Mus musculus: one gene and its partner. The protein of the gene in region 2 purifies or fractionates together with the protein of the main gene of each other region. This does not show direct contact. Links are inferred from orthologs where the notes say so. Each region holds a gene or a part of one and is shown on either strand. Other genes may lie near its edges.

What was found. The genes of interacting proteins can lie anywhere in the genome.
Region 1: the proteins of Xrn2 (region 2) and Cdkn2aipnl purify together in Homo sapiens (co-immunoprecipitation; 6 studies listed by BioGRID and IntAct, with this or other methods). This does not show direct contact. The link is inferred for Mus musculus from reciprocal best matches to the Homo sapiens genes XRN2 and CDKN2AIPNL.

What each region holds. Positions count from the first base shown.
Region 1 is NC_000077.6:51,966,282-51,970,467, reverse strand, and holds the start of Cdkn2aipnl (CDKN2AIP N-terminal-like protein), read right to left. Parts: upstream 2,838-4,186; 5' UTR 2,750-2,837; coding exon 2,511-2,749; intron 325-2,510; coding exon 225-324; intron 1-224.
Region 2 is NC_000068.7:147,040,483-147,044,043, forward strand, and holds part of Xrn2 (5'-3' exoribonuclease 2), read left to right. Parts: intron 1-333; coding exon 334-469; intron 470-1,505; coding exon 1,506-1,613; intron 1,614-1,691; coding exon 1,692-1,781; intron 1,782-2,377; coding exon 2,378-2,450; intron 2,451-3,561. UniProt on the Homo sapiens protein: Possesses 5'->3' exoribonuclease activity. May promote the termination of transcription by RNA polymerase II.

The DNA.
Region 1 (4,186 bases), on a different chromosome or scaffold from region 2:
AAGAGTGTTGTAGACAAATCAAAGAGATTGAGCCCACTTGTTACTCCACAGACAGTGCATAATTTATCACACTGACCTGTTATCTAGTTAAGAAAAGGTTTACACCAACTGTGAAGAAATAAGGAAAGGCCTTAAGACTGTGCTGCAGGAAAGGAGAATACGCACACCAACACAATGCAGTGTAAGCTGGGCCCTTGGTATCTACACTTGCAAATGCCTCTCACCTTTCTCATTAGTTCGCTTCTGGTTGTAAACTGTGGCAGGTCTTCCACTTCAATCCCATCAGCCATTTCCATCACCTTGTCCAGAAGGTCTTTATTATAACTGCACAATAAAAAGCAGTAAGGTAAAAACCTGGGAAGACTCACCTGTCACTACGGGTTAGTAAGAAAGTGTAGTTATTAGACTGTAAATGCTACCCCTAGAATACAGAACCGCTTGGTCACTGGTAAGGTCACACTATGCCATCTGAGGTTTGCCTCAGCCTTCGCTGTAGCTGGAATACAGATGCGTATATATCAAGCTTTGTAAAGACTGATTTGATACTGCAGGGGAGACCATAGGTGCTTAGCATACAAGTTAACAAATAGTTCTTCCTGCCTGTGAGGACAAACTAGGCTTGAGAACAATGCCAATACAGCAGATGTTCCAAGAATTACAAAAACAGAGGCAAGAGACATGGCTCAGCAGCTAAGACAGCACCTGAGACTCTTATAAAGGACCTGGGTTCAGTTTCTACATGGCTGTTAATTTCAGGTCTCAGATATCTGACGCCCTCTTCTGGCCTTGGAGGATACTAGGTACATATTTGTACATAGTCATACACATAAAATAAAAATCTTTTTAAAAATTACAAAAACAGGAGTTTGGAGAGATAATTTAGCAGTTGAGAGCACTTGCTCTCAGAGGACCCAGTTTCAATTCCCAGCATCCACGTCAGGTGGCTCACAACCACCTGCACTTCCATCCCAGGGAATCCAAAGCTGTCTTCTGGCCTCCAACGGCATGAGGCACTCTTACAGTGCAGGCATGTAGACAAAATGCCCATAGGTATAAAATTTAAAATAGGTATAAACAAGCAAACAAAAAGTTAAATTAAAATTACAGAAACAGGAGCACCATATACCTGGTGGTACATATTCATGGATGAGATTTGAGGGCCTAAAAATTGGATTATTTTTAAAACACACAGAACGTTGGTCTCATGAAAATAACACCATTTATCCCTTTTGTTCAGTTCTCCGTCACGTGTCTGAGTTTGGATTCTGTAATCTCAGATTTTAAAGGGCACCGCAGGAAGGAGGATGGGCCTGTGTGTGTGATGGGTGTGTCTAGCTCAGCGTCCCCACATCCGGTTCTGACAAATCATCCCAACATCTGAAACCAAGCCGCTTCAGCACTGGTGATGAGGCTCGTGACTGAGTGCTTATTTTGGATGTGTAAGGGCCTGGGTTTCATCCCTAACACAAAACCCAAAAAGTAAACCAAGCAGTTTGGCCTGGAGGGGGTCCTGTGACCACTACAAAATCAGGTATGAGTGAGGGTCTCCTGTTCTAACACAACCTCACGAAACTCTAGAAGCCTGGAAGAGCCTGGCCATGCATGCCTCTCAGGACGTGGTTGCCTAGGTGGATCAAGTTCTAGGATTGCCTGGGCTACACAGTAAACTGGAGGCCAGTCTCAGTTATAAGGGAAGACTGCCTCAAAAATTAAAAATCACGGGCTGGAGAGATGGCTCAGCGGGTAAGAGCACCCGACTGTTCTTCCGAAGGTCCGGAGTTCAAATCCCAGCAACCACATGGTGGCTCACAACCATCCGTAACAAGATCTGACTCCCTCTTCTGGAGTGTCTGAAGACAGCTACAGTGTACTTACATATAATAAATAAATAAATCTTTAAAAAAAAATTAAAAATCACAAGGGAGTATAAAAACCTGGTGTCATTTCCAGGTGGAATATCTCAAGGCCAGGCTCTTGCCTTCCAGGTGTGATCACAAAGACTGGGGAGGGCGGGGAGTTAGGACAGCAACAAGATAGCATGGGTTACTTTCCTAAGAGGGAAGCCAAGAAGAGAAAGGGGAGAAAAGATTACATCCTGCCTTAGCGTGAAACCCACCAATGGTGAGATACATCACATCCTCTTGCTAGGTGTCTTCATCTAGAGGAAGAGTCTGCACTTTTGTCACGTGGGCGACAGGAGCTAATAGACTTCAAACACACTCTGGAAAGGAAGTCCTCTGGGCTAATAAACAGTAATAACAATGACCATTGCAATTCGGCCGCCTTGGAGCACACCTGCACTGCACGCCCTATCATTCAGCTGCTGTAGTCATCCCAACCACTCATTCACAAGAGAAAAGCGAGGCTCAGAGGAGAGATTTTTTTCCCGAGGGAATGCTAAGAGGGGATCAGTAGGAGGCTGGCGCCAGGTTCAGCGTGGAGCAGTGTATATGCCCAAGCTGAGGATCGACTGATGGGGACAAGGTCAGCCAGCTGTCGGGGGTCCGCACCTGCAACCCAGGAAGAGGTGGTTGGCCCAGACCATGGATAAGGACAGCAGCTGGTCCAGGCGGCCGCCGCCGTCGGGTGGGTCTCGGTAGTCAGGCAGGTGGCGCAGGATGAACTCCATGCGCGCTTTCCATTGCTTCTCGCTCTCCGAGTAGGAACGAAACTGCTCGGCGAAGTCGGCGGCCTGCCGCACGCCGGAAACTAGCTTCTCCACCGCGGCGCTGGCCTCGCCACCCACCATGGCTCCCGCTGCCGCAGCCGCTGCCGCCGCTAAGGATCGCACCAGCCCGCCGCTTTCCCGACACGCCCCGCGCCGCCGCCGCACGGCTAGAGCGACCACGGCTGAGGGCGAGTGCTCTGGAGGACTTATCTGGAGCGCCCTCGCGGGGCACGGAGGTCTAGTGCAACCCAGCGTGTGTGGCAACTGCTGGGGAGCTTGAGGCCCGCCAGCATAGAGCTGGCAGCTAGGTGCCCATTGGGACTCTGCAGTGCCCTTTTTGCCCTGGGTCGTTCACCGGGCATCTGTCTATCCTCAGCCACACCTGAGGTTTGCCCTAAGTTCTGTGGCTGTCCCTTGGGAGTGAGGTCCTCTCTTTTATGGATCCACTGTTATCTCAACATCTTCACTGAGGTTGTGTTCTCCTATCTTGCTGTATTCATCATCCAATCAGTACATACAAGGCATTTTGTTTCGTGCCCAGGATGCCCCACTCTAAAGGACTTTGTGAGGGACCCTCATGGTGGAAGGAGAGAACCAACTCCTGAAAACTGTCCTCTGACTTCTACATGCAAGTTGTGGTACTTTGATGTACACACACACACACACACCAAGCAAGTAAATAAATGTAAAAATATAAAATGTAAGCTTGAGTCAGAAGAAAGCCTAGAACTCAGGACCTCCAGATCTAGTGAAGGTCTTAAGTGGTGAGTGGGCTTCAAGGAAGTTCATTATATACTGTTTACTATTGCAGATCCTTCCCTCCCGCTCCCCCAGGGTCATACACGGCCAAGCTGGCCTACAACTGCTTGCTTGCTCCCTTCTGTGGCTTCTGTGGCAGTGTTAGGATCCCAGCAGGCAGAAATACAATCCAGTCCGCAAATGCCAGAGCAGTGAGGACCAGCACCAAGCTGGGTGCTCTCACCTCAGGAAGACACAGTGCTGACACTACGGCTTGGAACATCTGAACCAAACATGAGAATCCAAAGACAGAAACAGCTTTCCCCCAGCAGTCAGCAAGTTAACTGGATAACAGCGACCAGAGCTGAGTCCCAGGATACAGATGCCATACCCTGACTGATACTGCAGTGGCAGGTTCCCAAGTGAAACCTCAGATACCCAGAGTCAAGGTCCCTGGTAATTCTGATTCTAGCTTCAGCTGATCAGACTCTGAGGACATTTGATGTGCCAGGCACAGTGACAGACACCTTTTGTCCCAGCTACTCCATATGTCAAGGCAGGAGAATTATTTGAGCCTGGAAATTTGCTGCCATCCTTATCACCAGAGAAAGATGCTTGACTCTTAAAAACACTGCGGAGGCTTCAGTGAGCTACATCCTTGGTTCCTTGGTTGTGTACTGCAGTGGTTGGTCTAGAAATGAGAGCATGGGGGCTAGAGAGATGGCTCGGGAGTTAAGATAACTGGCTGCTCTTCCAGAGGATATGGGTTCAGTTCCCAGC
Region 2 (3,561 bases):
TTAGAGTTATTGCACAATTAAAGCAAATATGGAAAGCAGTATTAAAATTGGCACAGACAAGTATCATGTATTTGCTCAATGAATGATTATCCTCTTTTTTTAAAATGTATTTTCTTAATGTACTTATTAGAGTCAGTATTTGGGTTTCTGATGTTTAAGTTGATAATGCTGAAAATGGAGTGGTTAGAAAGCTAATGAATCTGTTAGCTTTTTTGTTCAGCTTCTTCAATATCCCTTAGATATTAAACATGAATTGATTCAGTTTGGGAATCAGTAGACAATCTTTAGTCAGAGATGTATTAATTAAATATAATGTTACTTTACCTGGTTTAGGTTATGGGAAGCTGGTTGGAAGCAACGATACTACAAGAACAAATTTGATGTAGATGCAGCTGATGAGAAATTCCGACGTAAGGTTGTTCAGTCCTACGTTGAAGGACTGTGCTGGGTTCTTCGCTATTATTACCAGGTATCAAAAGAAGTTTTCCTCCTAAGTTTTTGGCTAATCATTTTAGAAAACAAGTAATTTCTATAATTGTACCTAATATTGAATATCCTTAGATAAAGCCTACACTTGTAGTTTTAAACTTACTACTAAAAATTATTACCATGAATAATATTTGTAAAGACTTGGAAGTTCCTTAAGAATTAGTCTATCAATAAAACTTGGTTCTGTTGTGTTAAAGGATTTTAAGGATTACAATGTTTGAGTTGGTCATTAATATTATTAAAGTTTAAGTGGGTTTTGGTTTGTGTGTTTGTTTTTTTAAAGAGTTTAAAGCCAATTGGGCATTTGAAAGTCACTAAGAAACTAAAGAAAAGATGCAGTATGTTGCGTACCAATAAAAATTTGAAAGGAATTTGATTGTAACAATTCTCTTATGTTACTGTGATTTTACATGAGATGAATTGGGTCAGTGTGTCCAGTGCACTGAGTAGTGGTGGAAAGATCTTCCTTCTTGTTTTACAGCACACTAAAAAGGCTTCTCTTTTTCCATGAGCACAACTTGCTTTTGTTTTGATTTTAGTGTATTTATAGTCAAGAGAAAGTTGCCACATGGAAGTATAATAGTACATTTTGGTTGTTTGATTCTCAGCTACTGTTGATGTTCGCAACTACTACTGCCACCTGTTCAGTAAATACCAGGTGAAAACCGTGTTTGGTTTTATTCGATGACAGAAGCTCTGAGATTGGAAAGAAATGTCATCAAATATATTTTAAGGATAAATATCTTAGTGAATTTGTATTTGTAAATACAAAGTTTGATATTAATTACTGATTATTCAAGAAAGTTTACAATATTTTTTAAATAAAGGAACCACTGATATGAAGCAGACAGTTATAAACAGTATTTTGAACTCAGAAAAATTAATGAGTGGAGTATATGCCAGAAATCATGTTTTACAAATAAGATATTATAGACTGATAGTCATAGCTAATTTTTTTTTTTAACCATGTTCATCATTAAGAGTATTTTGCTTTTAATTGTCATTAATGATTTTAGGGCTGTGCTTCCTGGAAGTGGTATTATCCATTCCATTATGCACCATTTGCCTCAGACTTTGAAGGTATTGCAGACATGTCCTCTGAATTTGAAAAGGGCACAAAACCGGTAAGCTTCAAGTCAATGAGAAGTAGGAATTTGAATTTCATAATAATTGGGAGTCTTTAACCTTTCCCTCTCTTGCAGTTTAAGCCACTGGAACAACTAATGGGGGTTTTCCCAGCTGCAAGTGGTAACTTTCTACCTCCAACATGGCGGAAGCTCATGAGTGACCCTGTAAGTCTTAGTGTTTTCAAATGTGTTAGGAACATTAGGCAAAGTTGACTTTGCATGTCATAGTTTTAAAAAGCTGAAATATGCAAAGAATGTGTTTTTTGCTTTTCACTGCATAATGTGGTATTCTGTACTTTCTTTGTCTCTGAGTTTCCTACCCAGTAAATAAAACTGATTTGTTTTCAATCTACATGTTATTATTTTGAGACAGGGAATTACTATGTAGTCCTGGAACTCCCCCTGTTCAAGGCTGGCCTTGAACTCAAAGAGATCAACCTCTGACTCCCCAGTACTAGAATTAAAGTTGTGAGTTAATCACACCCTGCATAATGATTTTTATTTCTTTCAACCCTATGAGAACTTTAAACATTCTATCTGACTTACCTAAAATTAACTCTAAGCTTGTTCTTTTGTGCTGGTTACGTAGTGAGACCCAGCCAGGAGGTAGGAAATGTTGAGTAACTAAACCTTTCACTGCCTGCATGTAGTCCATAACTATCAGTTCTAAAACTCTTTTCTTTGTTTAAAGTTATTTCATGTTTTTTGAGACAAGGTATGTGGCTTTTGTTTTTGATTCTTTTACTTTCTTCCTGAAACAGGATTCCAGTATAATTGACTTCTATCCTGAAGATTTTGCTATTGATTTGAATGGGAAGAAATATGCATGGCAAGGTAAAATTTAGATATCATTCCTTTTTGTTTGTTTGTTTGTTTGTTTGGATTGGGGGTTTCTCTGTGTACCCCTGGCTGTCCTAGAACTAGTTCTTTGGACCAGGCTGGCTTCAAACTCAGAGATCTGCCTACCTCTATCTTCTGAGTTCTGGGACTAAAGGTGTGCACCACCATCACCTTGTTTGTTTACAGTTTTTAATGAAGTTGATCAATCATGACTTACAGGATAAAAAAAACTCTGGAAACCATACTTTCATAATTACATGTGAAAAGTAGATATAAATATTCAATCATAATCATCAGTGATCAATAGTAATTCTAATAGTAAAATATGGTAAGTGGTAACTTACTGAAATAGGTTAAAATAGTGTTCTTTGTGAGTTTTTCTTCAATCAGTAACCCCTTGCCACCTTTCAAAACTGCTAAGAAAGAAACACAGTCATGCATGTTTGGGGTTATGGAAACTTGTAAAATATATAGTAGAAACTTAACAGTTGACATTTTATGTTTTGCCCGTTCTTTACATTCCTTATGTGAATAGATTATGTGGGAAAGCAATTTAAAAATTCACACTAACTTTAAGATGTTAATCACTACTCAACAAAAGTTGGTCATTGAGTATAACACACAGTAAAAAACACTTGCTCATCAAATTCTCCTCTGACACTTTCTTGTGCTGTATCCTTTTTTTTGGATACTAAGCTCAGAATTGTGAGGCAGAGGGGGCGTATCATCAATTTACAGATTGAAGGGCTAAGAAGTAGCTCAGTGGGAGATTATTTACCTGGCATGCACAAGTGCCTTTGATCCCCCCCCAAACCTCATAAAACTCATCACTCCCTCTACCCCTGGTCCCTGCAAAATCAAAACCAACAAAAAATGTACTGTAATTGGGGGTTAGCTTTTGGTTTAAATAGTAGTGATAATTTCTTATTACTTTAATATAATGATACTAAAAAATGCATCCAATATATTGGGGCTATTTAAAATGTGCTTTGGTCACATGTAAATGGATTAGCGTCTCCAAAGGCTTTTGAAGGAACTTTGTAGAGGATGATTTAATTAGAGAAGCAGTGAGGAAATGGAGGGCTAATTAAAATAAGTTAATTAA